Oreochromis niloticus: one gene and its partner. The protein of the gene in region 2 interacts with the protein of the main gene of each other region in a pairwise test. Links are inferred from orthologs where the notes say so. Each region holds a gene or a part of one and is shown on either strand. Other genes may lie near its edges.

Region 1 (7,840 bases), on a different chromosome or scaffold from region 2:
TGCTCAAGCTGCGGCACCCGGGTGGAGACCACCCGCAGGTCGTCGGGCTGCAGGTCCACGCACAGCGTCAGGCTGAGCAGCGAGATGGGCAGGAAGTCAGCGTACGCTGACAGGGGGTGGCCTCCTGTAGAGATTGACAGATCACGTGACTTTCGCGCATTGCATTGTGGGTACGAGTGTCAACAAAATCAAAACACTGCATCAAGCGCTAGTATTTCCAGCACCGGTAATCATTAATTCTGCGGTTTTAATCCCTACTTGCATTTTATTTGCCCCCAAAACAGTTATGTACAAAACGACGGAGAACACGGCAGGTTCGTACGAAGACAGACTTGACGAAAAGGCAAAAAAAAGGACGACGAAAAAATCAAAGGAGTGAAAGGGTCAGACCCATACGAGCGTACAGGGTGGAGTAAGGACGTCAGCGTGCTGCCCAACTTTCATCACGCACATATTTATTATTATATGGTTCTAAGTGTGAGTGCATACACTCACAAGATGTTTATTACTATTACTATGGAAGACATCCTGCATCGTCCCGGTCCCCAAAAGGAACCGGCCCAATGAGCTAAATGACTTCCGACCGGTGGCACTGACGTCACATCTTATGAAGACTCTAGAGCGGCTCTTCCTCAAACTCCTCCGACGACAGGTACAACATGCCCAGGACCCACTACAGTTCGCATACAAGGCGGGTGTCGGAGTGGAGGATGCTGTCCTGTACCATCTACATAGAGCCCACTCACACCTGGACAAGGGAAAAGGCACGGTCAGGATCCTGTTTCTTGACTTTTCCAGTGCCTTTAATACCATCCGGCCCTGTCTGCTCCAGGAGAAACTAAACAGGATGCAGGTGGACCCCTGCCTGGTTGCTTGGATCTCCGACTACCTCACTGACAGACCACAGTACGTCAGGCTGAAGGACATCATGTCTGACACTGTGGTCAGCAGCACAGGAGCACCACAGGGAACTGTGCTGTCCCCTCTTCTCTTCACCCTGTACACCTCTGACTTCTGCTACAACTTTGAATTATGCCATATTCAGAAATTTGTAGACGACACAGACATTATGGGGTGTATCTGGGATAATCAGGAAGAGGAGTACAGAAGTCTGGTGAGGAACTTCGTCACATGGAGTCACACTAACCACCTGCAACTCAACACCTCAAAGACCAAGGAACTGGTTGTGGACTTCGGGAGGTCCAGAGCAGGTCCACTGGCGGTTCAGATAGAGGGGGAGGAGGTGGAGGTGGTCAACAAGTACAAGTACCTCGGGCTGTGGGTGGACAACAAACTGGACTGGTCATGGAACACAGAGCACCTGTATAAAAAAGCCCAAAGCCGACTGTATTTCCTCAGGAGGCTGAGGTCTTTTAACATCTGCAGGAAGCTCCTGAGGATGTTTTACCAGTCGGTGGTTGCTGGAGTACTTTTCTATGCTGTGGTGTGCTGGGGGAGCAGCACAGCAAAGAAGGACTCATCCAGGCTGGAAAAACTGATCAGGAAGGCTGGCTCTGTGGTCGGCATGAAGCTGGACACTCTGGTGTCAGTGGCAGAGAAGAGGACATTAAAGAAATTGCTGAACATTATGGACAATGCTGGGCATCCTCTGCACACGGCCATAAACAACCAGAGGAGTCTGCTCAGTGACAGGTTGCTTCTCCCAAAGACAAGAACCAACAGACTTAAAAACTCCTTTGTCCCACACGCCATCAAACTGTTTAACTCCTCTCTGGAGGGGAGAGGGAGGGGAAACAGGAGGACAAAGGAAGGGGGGGACAACTAAGCTGTAGTGCCTTTTCACTGTGCAATAGTTTTTGTTAATAACCAACGGTGCAATAGACTTCAATACTTGAAATGTGCAATTCCCTTGTATTCTTATTCCTATTTATTCTATTTATCCCTTTTGTATACTCTTTATTTATACATGTCTCTTTATTTATATATGTGTATGCTATTCTGCTCACATTCTCTAAGTTCTGTCGGTGCTGGGCTATTTGGAAACTGAATTTCCCAGAGGAACCCACCCGAGGGATTAATACATTTTTATCTTATCTTATTAACTTCAGATCCCTGCAACAAGCCCAGGTCCAGTTTACTTTGGTGATTTGGACTATTCCATTTCACAGCTGTTGTTAAATTCTTTTCCTTTATCTCCTGTACAGGCAAACGCATCTATTTGTGGTTTCAGGTTGTGGTATTACACAACATTTTCCGATCTAATAGAAATAAAATGAGTGTTTCGTAATTCATTCAATTTATTGTCTTTATTTATAACTGGCATTATTGTTTGATTCTATTATAGAATCTTACAAGAAAGAGGCAAAATTGTAAAAATCCATCATTCTTTATTAGCTGCTTCGGTGAAAAACAAATCAAAAATGCAAAAAAACAAAACAAAAAAACAACACTGCAAAACAACATACTGGAAAACAGTTATTCATCACTTGATTGCTTCAAAAAGATCTTTTGTTAAAAGGGTTGGCGTAATAAGCAAATGCTTCAGCCAATACCTTTTGATTAGCCTTGTCTCATGCTTTCTTGCTTTGTGGTAATCTTTATTCTATATTCACTGAGATATTTAAATGCTAATCAATAAAAACAAAAAACAAACAAAAAACAAAACAATACAACCCCCTTGGGCACATATATGCGGGACGTTTCGTGGCTGTTTTGATATCGCTCTCTCTCTTAACGGATCAAATCTGGCTGTGGTAGCAGCTTTAACCTCGGTATGACCCAGGGTGATAGAGGTGCCTGGTCTGGATGCATTCCAGCATTTTGTAGGCTGGTTTTCCTACAAAACACAACAAACATTAGCCCGCAAAGCCACAGTGAACAAAGCAGCATAACGCAACGAATTCAATTCAAATCAATATAAGACTTATTTGTAACCTACATCAACAATTATGTTATGATAAATTACGTAATAACTACAACAGAAGACGTACCTTTGTGGAAATGCTTGGAGCAGACTAACATGTGAGCTGGAGTGTTCTGGGACGTTATATTTGGTCTTTGAATGGCTGCAATCCAGGCCATCCGTCGGCTCTTTGTTACTTCAGAAACACGGCTTTAACAATTTCTCTTCCACGACGTAATACGATAACAACCGATCTCTTTACCCGTTGGCTTCCCGTGGCTGTCATGCGACCGGCTATTGCAGTTAATAATACAACAGCTTCTTGCCATTCTTTGTGTTTCTTTTTATCACCGTGTGACTGTTTTCTTGTGAAACCCTGTGCGCGCTAGTACCACTTGCCACTCGTATCCACAATCCTTTGCAGTTTTACCCCAGAATGACATCACATTTTCAATCTCTATTGAACTTGCAGACATCAGAGAGATGCTCAGATAGACAAATACAAAGGGGGGAAACACACTCACCGTGGATGCTGAGGTTGGTTAGGTGTGGCAGTGACGTCAGCCACGTCTGCAGGTGACAGGTGGGTCCAGGTACGGAGTACAGGTGGAACACTGACAGGGTACGGAGGCGGGACAAAGGCTGCAGTGTTTCCTGTGTCACCACGGCGTCATAATTCAGCAGCTGCAAGTCCAGCAGCTGTAGTGCAACATCACCTGCAGGACGATACGTGACATGTGATCTCACCTCTGTTCCATCTCAGAGGTGAGGCAGGTTCAGCAGGAAGGCAGAACACACCAGTGCCTACCCTTCCCTTCCTTCAAGATCAATAATCTAACTATTAAATATCTCAGCAAGTGACTGATCCAGGTGTGCCTACCTGTGTGGTGGGCGGGGCTGAAGAAGTCATGTGGGAGCGTCCTGTAGGTGATCATGGTCCAGGACAGGTGTGTGAGCTCGGTCAGGTGAGCGAGGACGCCGCTGAGGGACGGGACCCTTAGGCTGCCGTCATGGTGCAGCAGTAGTGAGGTCAGACGCGTCAGCTGACCAATGGCGGCCAACAGGTGAGAGGCAGAACAGGTGAGCTGCACATTACAGAGGCCGAGCTGTGTCAGCTGCTGACTCAGAGGAAACAGGAAGTCCAGGTTCCTCAGCGGTGTAGAACCGGATGTGACGGACAGTCGCTGAAGCTGGCGGAATAGTCTGAGATCATCCATGCCCCCTTCTCTCCAGTCGTCCAGTCGCAGGCCGCAGAGCGCCGGCAGCCAGGTGTACAGCTGCTTCAGGTGCTTCCTCTTACCTGAGCGCAGCAGCACGTTGCCCACGTGCCTCTGAGCCAGGCTACGCCAGAACGAGGGGTTGTAGCGCGAGAGGTTCTGCAGCACCACGCTGAAGCCCCTCCACAGGGGGCGGGACTTATCCAGCAGGTGTCTGAAGTATGAGCAGGTGCAGCGCATGCTCAGTTTGTCCCTCCAGGACAGGAAGCTGAACACCTTCAGCCACAACTCGGCCGGAAGCTGCAGCGCCATCTCTCACCTCCGATTATCGATCAGGGAGCTACCTGAGCAGCGGCCCTGACGTCATCACAGCCACAACACCGCGTTTCTGATTAGCTGATATCGATCCTTGATCGTGTCTGTGGTCAACTCCGACAGTTCTTCTCACTCTAACTGCGCCTGCGTGATATTATCGATTATCGCCAGCTTTTAAAAGATCTCCACAGAAAAAGAGAGTCAGTAAAAGTACGGCAGTCCCAGTCTTAGCGCAGGCGCAGTGACACTTACTTACAACATCCGGTTCCAGTGCTGACGTCACTGCCAGTAAGTTTCAGACGCTATTGCGCATGTCAGAGAATTGAAAGGGCGGCATCGTCAGTCACGTGTAAGAGCAGAAAACCAGTTTAAGGTCAGAACAGAGCTTCTCGCGCACAGGTGAGTTCACCTGAGAGCCGAGACCGGAAACCAGACACCCGCGGTCAAAGAAGACGACTGGAAGAAAAACCACCGAAGAAGAAGCTGAGCGGGCGGAGCTGGTCGGAGCTGATCGATCAGATGGAAGGTGGGTGATTGATAATCGATCCACACGTGACTAACCAGCTGATCGATGGCACGCGCAGCAAAAATTATCAGCTGACTGGCGTAAGCCTTTCCGTTATTAATCAGCGGTCATGCGGGCGCGCGCTCAGGGTCAGAGCTCAGAGACTAGAACGACAACAAAGAGTGACGTCATATGTATACACCTGAGGTCCATGTAGGATTTCACCTTTGGCTGGAGTCACGTGGACCATGAAGGTGGGCAGCTTGGTATCGATTATTGATCAGCAGGAAACATTATAGCTTCATACCGGCATAGCATGGTGAAATACCCCCTGACCCGGCTAAAGCCAGGTAAACCCTGAGTTACCTGGATAAGGTGACCTCTGCTGCAGAGCTCGAGTGGACGAGGTCAGGATCAGTAAAGCCAGACAAGGCAAGAAATCCTGGATATGTTGAACCTGCTTCATGGTGGGTTAGGGTTGGTTACGGTTGACCTTTGACGGCTGAATGATGATGTATTTGTTTGTTTTGATTTTGCTTTACTTCATTTTATGTCTATTTTTGACATTTGTATGTTTTTTAAATGATTTTTTTGACAAAAAGTTTAGAAATGTTGTTGTCACGTTCTGAGCTGTGACATCACAGGAAGTGACAGAGGCTGCTTTGAGGCGGCGAGCTGCACGTTGAGGACCGTGGTTTACACAAGTTTTATTGATTGTCTTGTCGTGTCGCCTGCACACTCTGTCACTAAAACACTCAACAACAAAATCACGTGACTCTGTTCTCAGGTGACATCTCAGTCACGTCAGCAAACAGGAAGTCTGCTGCGATCACAGGAAGTGCGAGAAAGATTAAAGACAACGCTGCCGACTGGCACAACATGATGCTGCGGTGGGACAGGTTGAATGAGGACGGCTTCATGGCGGCAGCAAGCATCGTCAACATGAGGCGGTCAGTTTACTGATGATCTCAGGAATGCCAGGTGTTGATGGATCATGTGATTGATCAATCTGAAATCTGTTTTCAGTGCTCAGAGCGATCAGCTGCTGCTCAACAATTCTTCATCGCCTCCACCCTCTTCCTCACCACAGCACGTGGGCGGAGCTTCTGAGCTGCAGGACAAATGTCTCAAACTGCAGGAAATCGTAGACAAAATGGTGAAGCTTCAAAAAACATTATTTACACTTAGGTTCAGAGACAAAAACAAAACACTGGTTCAGAATCCAATCAATAATCAATAATCACACACACACACACACACACACACAGCAGCCCCATCAGTGATCAATAATTTGAGTGCAGAGAGTAAAAGCTCACACAGACCTTTCAAAAGAAAATGAGAAAACAGCTTTTATTGACCACTGAACAAAAGCTGATCAGTATTGATCTTGACTGAGCATGTGACACAGATTAAGGCTCCTCCTCCTTGGGCTGATGTGCACAACTGCTTTATGAAGTTAAACTGAATCTCAGTTTGTTGATTTTAAAGTGATGCCATCATCAGGTTCACTATTTCCCAGCTTTCTCTGAGTGAGCTGGATCAGTTAAACCTGAACTCCCAGACAGAGCTAATCAAGCAAGATAATAATCAATAACAGGAATCAGGAAGGAGGTTATCAGTGTTCTGCTGGAGCCTCTGAGCATGCAAACATTTTACACGTGTCATGTGACCGATGAAGGCGCTGAAATAGATCCGTGCTATGCTCTGATAGGCTGATCAGATTTGTTTCTGTTCATGAGGACGCAGCGTTTTCAGTGGGAGAAACGTTTCGTCACTCTTCCAAGTGACAGAATCAACTTTTTGGGATTACCTGGATCATCGAGCATGCGTCAAGCATGCGTCAAGACCTCTTGTGTGACATCATTTCTTGTTTCCCGTCAGGCTGCTGTGGTGACGAAGATGGATCGTCTGATGACATCACAGCGTGGAGTAGAGGATCTGGAGGCGTTTCAGTTTGGAGCCGAAGGAAGAAAAACTCCTCTGTTTCACAGCTGGAGCACCAGAGAGTTCGGTGAGCAGCGTGGCTGATGGAAACCGTGTAGCAGCTTGGACTCTGGTCAGATGAAGCTTAATCTTAATTTTACATCTCACTTTAAATCCAATGATTCAGCCACAGTTTACTGATGGAGCTGTGAGATTAGTTGCCCATAGCAACAGCCTCCAGGCAGATCCGCCCTCTACTCAGATTTTATTCAATTGTTTCTGGTGCGGTTTCTGCCCGTTCCATCAGTAGCAATAACAAATTCCATTAATTCTGCCATTATAGGATAAAAATGCTTGAGGACTTAAATTGTGTCAACAGTTATAATCTGATCTCATATCAACTTCACGATCAACGATGGCTGCCCGACAGTCACTGTTTGAGTAAAACACCAAAGTTTCCGAGCCGACGACTTTGATGATAAAAGACAAACGTGGCTCAGCTTTCACTCAGCTGCCCACATGCTGAGCAGAGAGGGTTGAAGTCAGGGATGCAGAAGCTGTAAACGATCCAAATAGAGTAACACGGGATGAGCTGGAACCGGATCCGGTCTGAATCTGTGATCTGAATCCATTTTAGATCCGTCCTGCCGTGGAAGAGGACTCTGTTCCGGGGCCTGCGATTCTTTGAAGCAGATCCAAACATGTCGAGGCTCAGACTCGGAACCTTTAAAATGTGGTTAGATGACATTCAAGGACTGAAATGTAATCCGATTACAATCAGACTGTCTGCAGCAGCTTTGAAACGTCACAGTCTCAGTTTAAGAGTCTAAAAGTCATCTGAGCTCATCTTCACTCAGATATTCTCCAGCGGTGACTATGAGAAATGATTGATCGGTGATCAGAGTGTAACACAGTAAACGTTTGCAATGCAGGAAACTGACAGCATCACTGTCCACAGAGATGAAGGAGATGAAGACTACAGATGATGATAGATCTGTGATGTCATCACTGTCTCTG
Region 2 (7,114 bases):
TCCACTGTTAAATACTACCCACAAGCACCCACTGATGTGACTTAACTGCAAGTACAGCACTAAACACGTATCAACACTAATGTACCTTCAGCGTAAGGAGTCTGAGCAACACCTTCGTCCTCACCACCACTGTCTGAGTTAAAGCAACATTTTGAGAGAAACAAAGCAAAGCTGCAAGTCAACAACACATCTGCACCTTGTTCATTTATACAAAGCTCAGTCGAGGAAGCGGATGCCATGAGAGGGAGCGGGGAGACTCGCTTACCAGAGAAGGTGAACTTCTTATAACTCCGCGCTGAGGATAAAGGTACAGAGTTCGGCTTCTTCCCCCCTTTGGTGGGTTCATCTGAGGGAAGCGAGGCAGACAAAAGCCTTTTTCTGATCGCTGCTATTAATGTAAAACTTCAAAGCTGGTAATAATGTGGAGCTAATAATGAGAAAGTAATTTATGCGAGAACACTCTGCACTGAATTACCTGCTCCCTCTGGTTTTGCATTGCTCTCGAGCACAGCAGAGTCTTTCTTTGGTCCTTCGCTAACAAGTGGCTTTGTTTGCGCGGGAGCCGAACTAGGCTTCTTCTTTGATGCAAAGAGGTCAGCGTCCATGTCGTCCATGTCCTGCACGAGGACAGAGAGGAAAAGTGAAACGTGCACAGTGTGAACTTTATCTCTGCCGCCGCAACCTCACTTAATGACCCACCTTCATGCTCTTGAGTATGTCGCTGGGATCAGCCACTGACACATCCGAGTCCTTGGACAAAAGAAGAAAATATAAAGAGACAAAATAAACACAAAAGGACAAAAAAACTGTGTGAATATGACCCCGTTTGCATATTATCCTACATACCTCAGTGTCCGCACCATCCATTTTTATCTCCTGTGCTAGCGTGCTGAAGATATAATCAGTAGCAGACGAGCAGGAAACGAAAACAGAACATGAAGAGGAGTAATAATTTACAGCTGGCACTTTGCAATTCACAAATCTTCCTTCTAACTTACCTATACATAGGTCCATCACGTGATGCTTTCGTCCTTACTGGCTGCTCTAGTTAGCAAATTATTGCAAGAAAATATTACGACACACTTTAACATAAAGATAGACGCTAATTCTGATAAAACTGCACAACTGCGCTCACTTACTGTCATCATCAAGCAAGCTGTCAAGCAAATCATCCCTGAATGAACCTTAGAAAAGCAACAGAGGTATACAGTCAACTTCAGCATGGTGCAAGCGAGGCATACTACTGCTGCTGCCTATATCTGTATTTGTGGTGGTATGACATCCTCATTGGATCAGGAGGACGGAGACACACTGGGTTATATTTTAATGCAGAAATAGGCATTTATCATTTTATAGTCAATGTTTTGCTGAGGTACAATCATGAGGGAGAAGGATGTAATTGTGTGCCAGATACAACATACTTTAATATAAAGTGGACCAGACCAGTGAAACTCCCCTAACTGTCACTGTACAAAAGTTTAAATTTTCTGCTTTATAGTTTATATATTACTTAATTACTTTGGTGTAGTATGAATGGCCATGGGAGAGCTCCTTATCAAGCTGTAAATCAGTTAAAAGTCTAATTTTATGCCGTGCTTTAGACTGTTCAAAGCCACCCAGCAGGTCAGTGTTGTACCAAAAGCAATTCATCGTTTTTAAACTCTTGTAAATGACTTCTTGGCATATAATCTGTCAAACATATCTTTCATGATTGCTATCGAGCCGTTTGGAGCCACAAACAACATTCCTGTCACAAGGTAGAAGCTGCAATCAGTTTTGGGCAAACTAACTTATATATAAGCCTTTATTTATCCAGCTAAGTCTCACTGACATTAAAAGTGTCTTTTTAAAGAGTGATCTCTCCAAGAAGGGAGCAGAAATTGCAACAAATACAAAATAATAGTTATATAAAGACACTGTGTTTTTATTTATTTTATATACAAAACCCCTTAATAAATCATGTTAGCTACAGTCTATATATCAATATAAGCAAAGACATTACACATTGAAACAAATACACAGAAACATCGGAAATCACTACTTGGTACAAGACCCTTTAGAAGTCTTTGTCGAACTGATTCTGGGCCCCAGGCCTTATGTTTGATACTCCTGAAAGTTTATAAAAAATAAAATTTAAAAAAATGGAAAGTTTGTAGGATTCAAATAGCACAAGATTAACTTACTTTTCGAGGCTTTCCCCTTCGGCTTTGTAGCCTGAAAATAGCAGTGAAAATAAGTTTATTAAGTTAGCAGATAATCATGAAAAAAGTGAATGATAATGAAATGATCCTCAGTGATAATGAAACTCCGTTATATCGTCAATGAATAAATAAAAAGAAATGTCGAGTGAGAGCACAGTTTGACTTACCATGTTCAATCTGTGCTGGTGGGTTTACAGTGTAAGAGTAGCCATTGAGCTAACAGTGCAAAGGAAAAGAGAAGAATAAATTTTTACTGTCATTTTTTATTTATTTATCATTTCATCGTCACTGTTAGCAGCTCTGGGTTTAAGAGCAGCATAAAATGAACACACATAAGCGCCTCCTGTCTCCATTGGCAACCGCTCAGCTACTCTAGCTAGCATTTGTCAAGAACATAGCACGACTGGAACCTTTCGTCTTAATTACTGTGGTTTAAATAGTCACGTATTGATACAGCTCGTTGTGTTTAGCATCTTAAAGTTGGCCAGCAGACTAACGGTAAAGAAAAAAAATCACACCGCCCCCACACAACACATTTTCACAGAAGGTTGCACCTTAGCCACAGTGCAAACAAAAGCTAACTAGTGCTCCAGCGCTAGGCTTGTGATTAGCATTAAATGTAGCTACATACAAAAAAATAAGCAGTAAACCACGAGCTTCGGCGTTTGGGCCACTCAGTGCTGGAGTAGCGGGTGCCACAATCGTACCGACCGGCAAAACATACGTTTCCTGTTTACTGTTTGAAGTGCATTATGGGTAGAGTAGTTTCAAGTAACCCTTCGGGGAAAGCTGTTTAAAAAGAGGCTTTTGATTTGGGCTGTGTCTAAAAACACTGAAGTTCGTCGTTTTGAACGTGAGCTGGTATTTTAAGCCAAAGTGCTTGGGCCTGCTTAGTGAGGTCTGCCAAAGTGGTTTACCAGCAGGTGGCATCAAAGCTTAGAAAATGACTCCAGGCAAATCACAGCTAAGTAATATTTTAAAGTCAGTTTACTACTACTGCTACTACTACAGCAACTATTAGGACTAATACTAATACTATTAAAATTCTAAAGCCTTTTCTGTTGTCAGAGACAGCTGGCAAATTGACTAGAAGAGTACCTTTAACCTAAACTTCAAGTTTTATAAAAGTCATAAAAAAATTGAAAAAAAGAGTAATCATCTTTAAAAGTTTACAAGTAGATTTTTAAAAGAGCTTTTTGAGCAGTTCTGATGGCAAACGGAAGTTTGTCCCACAGTGCTGAAGCTATACATGCATATGTGCTCATACATAAACACTAATTTTCATGTAGGGTGGAACAGAGATGCAGTGGTTAGCGCTGGGTTCGAATTCAGACTGCAGCCACAGTGGGGAGGTTACATGCTCTTCTTGTGTCTGCGGGGATATTCTCTGGGTACCCCACACATCCCAAAGACATATGTGTGGATTAAATTAATTGGTGACTCTAATGTGATCATCAGTCTCTATGTCAGGGTTGTCGAACTCCAGGCCTCAAGGGCCGGTGTCCAGGTTTTTAGATAACACCCTGGGTCAACACACCTGCATCAAATGATTAGTTCATTACCAGGCCTCTGGAGAACTTCGAGACATGTTGAGGAGGTTATTTACCCATTTAAATCAGCTGTGTTGGATGACGGACACATCTAAAACCTGCAGGACACCAACCCTCTAGGCCTGGAGTTCGACACCTGTGCTCTATGTGTTGGGTCTGCAACACACTGACAACCTGTCCACAGTGTACCCCGCCCCTACCCTCCCATGAGCTCTGAAATGGATAAATAAAAGACGATGGCTGAATGTGAGCTTTATATCTTAATGGAATTTTCCAATATTGATCTAATGTTTAATTTGAACTGTAAAGTTTATTTTCTGTGATGATTTGTGTGGACTGAGTTTGAATGTGCAGGAGGACAGTCGTTTTCCAGTAAGCACATTCCTCAAAGCCGTCATTCATCATGTTACAGAGTTACATACAACTCAAGCTGATTTTGTGTCCTATTCATTGTAGTATCAAAACAGTTTCAGCACATGAGGTCTGTACATGCTCGATATTATTTCCTTTTTCCTGAATTGGTGAGTCAGACAGGAGCTGTTAACAGAGACGTTTCCTTCCTCTGCTGGCAAATGTGGACAGGCCTCATTTCCCCTCTGCAGTTTTGTCGAGACTGTCGGATAAATGCACACAAATGATAATCTGTGGCAATTTGCCTTTGATAAAATACTCTGGGTGTGCAAATCAGATTTTATTTATTTTCCAAATGATCTGCTGTGCACGTCATGTGATCAGTGTACTTTACAGGAGTGCTTTGTTTACTGTAATGTCAGCTGACATTTTAAATGTTGGTAGGAGGCAAAAAAAAAGCACTTTGACCTTCTGTGTTAGAGTGGAAAATAAATACTTCTATGATATGAAAACCATTTTAATAAATCACCAAAGTATGGAACAGTTATTATTAGTGCATATGACAGAGAAGCCTCCCTGTTGTTCAGTGGCACACAGCAGAGCATAAATGCCTTTTAATGCTTTATTTAGTTGCTGGGGTTCCTCTGGGAGAGCAGCATAAAGCTTTAATGTTTACATGCCACATACAGTGCAACATATGACATAAGCTCAATACTTCAGAAGAAATGAGGCCTCTTGTGAAATGCTGAGATGCATCCTGCCAAAGGATCTCTTTGTGCACAACAACTTAACACAAACCATATGGAAAAGAAGCAGGAAAAAAATGTATGTGTCATGCTATGATTTACCCATGAAAGTGGTAACATTTGCAGTCTTCTCCTGGAGAAAAAAACACAAGAACTGACTACTAATAAAGTAAAAATTATGTTTAATTAAAATACTCCAAAAGTGAGTCAATCTGCAGATACGCCATGTTAAAATACTCAGTTTTACCACCGATATAAATATGTTTACACCCTTTTGCAAAAACCATTTGGGCCACTGTAGCTAAGTTCTGTAATCATGACATGTGAATTTTGCTCTAATGTTCCCATTAAAATTCTGCTAAGGCCTAAAGTTATGCAAAACATGGGAGCATGGATGGTTGGTCTTGATCAGCATTCAGCTGCACTAAAATATATGTAATGGAGTTTGTTGTTCAGTTTTTCTGGTTAAAACATTTTGTTTTAGACCTATTTTTCCAATAGCCAAAATTAGCATGCCAATGGACTTTGCTCACCAAGCTAGCTAGCCCTGAGTGGTGTTAGCTGTTTTCAGGCCTCCAAATAGGCGTCCATCTTTTATGTAATCTATGGTTAACCATAGTGTGAGATGAGACTATTTACAGTATGAAAGATGTGTGTGGTCATACTGGTTAGTGACCTCCATATGAAGCCTAAAGTTTAGCAGTTGATGAAGGAGGGGTGGGAGTGACAATAAAACCGAGGACAGTGTACGCCCTTCAGCTAACGATGTCAGTTACAAGTTGTAGCATTAATAATAATGTCAACACAGTGAACTTCATGTTTTGTTCAGTATGACTTCAAACTTCTAACTGAACCCATATCAGAAAAATGTTTAAATGTGAGAGAGCTGAGGACTTCTAATATAACGGTTCTGTAATAGTAGAGTAAAAATAGGATACCAACCTTCTTGGGACAAGGGAAAATCAAGGGTTGCCCAATAACTACATTGAATTCTTTAGCAACTGATTGCACGTAGTTCGAGCATGCAACACCTTCAACCTCTGAGTGACTACTTTTGATCGGGAGGTTGCCTGGTGAGATGCGACCTGTCTCCAAGCAATGATGTTCCAAACCACACAGACTGTAATGACAAATTGATAAAAGTTTGCAAATGATTGCCATCTAATTTAGAAATGTAGAAAGATAGCAAACACCTTGCAATCAATCTGTGGCAGTCTGTTCCAATGAGTACAACTCATCTGTCACATGTGTCTTTGCAATACGGGACTCAACTGGTTATTAGCTGGTTGGATGTAGCTGATTATATGCTCATATAAAAACAAATATATTGAGCATCTATGTTATTTTGCAGTTAAATTGCCAGTCCTGGAGTAACTATCTCCCAGTTTGTTGTGGAATTTGTACATTTTCAGTTTCAAATTGAAGAAATTTTTGCTGAACTCTGAATGTTAATCGTTAAATTGAATTTCTGTGTATGTAATTGCACAGATTTATCACAGTTAATCACAAACAGATTGAATGTAACTGCTAACTTGACCCCGTTCAGTGACAAACTGTCTTATTGCCGTCTTATTCCTGTTTGATCACCATCCTGAAACACCAAAGTTAGTTTAAAGTTGGCAGCTGACTGCAAGTGGTCACAGTAACATAACCAGAAGTCTTTTTGCGACTAATGCAGTCGCCCCCTGCTGGCCACTAGAAAGAATGCATCATTAAGGTGATTTGGCCTTGGATTCACTTCTCCCATCTAGAAGCTACTTGCACCATGTATGAATGAAACATAAATTTTGTAAGATTTAAAATGTAGTATGTATGTTTATTTACTGTTGGAGGGTATGAAAATGTTTTGTTCTATTGTTTTTCCTTATGGAAAATAATTTTATATGTAAAAGTAAAACATCAGACAATCAGAGAAGAACATTGTGGCATTTTATTGTATGGAGGCACATATTTGTTACTTTAAACCCTGAAAATCTGATCAAATTCACAAGCTAAAGATACATTTTGACTCTAAAGCAGACAGCATTATTAGCGATGTTGCAAATTCAGCCTTTGTCCAGTTTCTTCTTCCAAACTGAAACATACCCATGTTCACTCATTTGCTGTTTCCTCTTCAGTAAAACGAACATCTGCTGGACAGACAGGGGGAAGGCATGATCAAAACAAGCCTCATTGTTTTTGTAGCCCTCTATTTCTTTCTTTTTTTTCACTCCCGGTGGGAGCCTTACTGTGAGCTGCCAAATGCAGATGAATTAGAACCAGATCA

The links. The genes of interacting proteins can lie anywhere in the genome.
Region 1: the proteins of fbf1 (region 2) and cinp interact in binary tests that used the Homo sapiens proteins (3 or more experiments, as listed by UniProt). The two-hybrid records come from large-scale screens. The link is inferred for Oreochromis niloticus from reciprocal best matches to the Homo sapiens genes FBF1 and CINP.

What each region holds. Positions count from the first base shown.
Region 1 is NC_031983.2:30,840,528-30,848,367, reverse strand, and holds the start of cinp (cyclin-dependent kinase 2-interacting protein), read left to right. Parts: upstream 1-4,777; 5' UTR 4,778-4,914; coding exon 4,915-4,921; intron 4,922-5,687; coding exon 5,688-5,850; intron 5,851-5,926; coding exon 5,927-6,056; intron 6,057-6,781; coding exon 6,782-6,911; intron 6,912-7,840. Other genes in the region: uncharacterized protein LOC102079865, read right to left, coding at 1-124, 3,388-3,579, 3,744-4,392. UniProt on the Homo sapiens protein: Component of the DNA replication complex, which interacts with two kinases, CDK2 and CDC7, thereby providing a functional and physical link between CDK2 and CDC7 during firing of the origins of replication.
Region 2 is NC_031969.2:13,397,648-13,404,761, forward strand, and holds the start of fbf1 (fas-binding factor 1 homolog), read right to left. Parts: upstream 3,092-7,114; 5' UTR 2,926-3,091; exon of another isoform or gene 2,833-2,925; intron 2,810-2,832; exon of another isoform or gene 2,534-2,809; intron 2,418-2,533; 5' UTR 2,372-2,417; coding exon 2,369-2,371; intron 2,215-2,368; coding exon 2,184-2,214; intron 1,185-2,183; coding exon 1,140-1,184; intron 1,045-1,139; coding exon 999-1,044; intron 890-998; coding exon 847-889; intron 751-846; coding exon 700-750; intron 618-699; coding exon 476-617; intron 347-475; coding exon 266-346; intron 134-265; coding exon 86-133; intron 1-85. UniProt on the Homo sapiens protein: Keratin-binding protein required for epithelial cell polarization. Involved in apical junction complex (AJC) assembly via its interaction with PARD3. Required for ciliogenesis.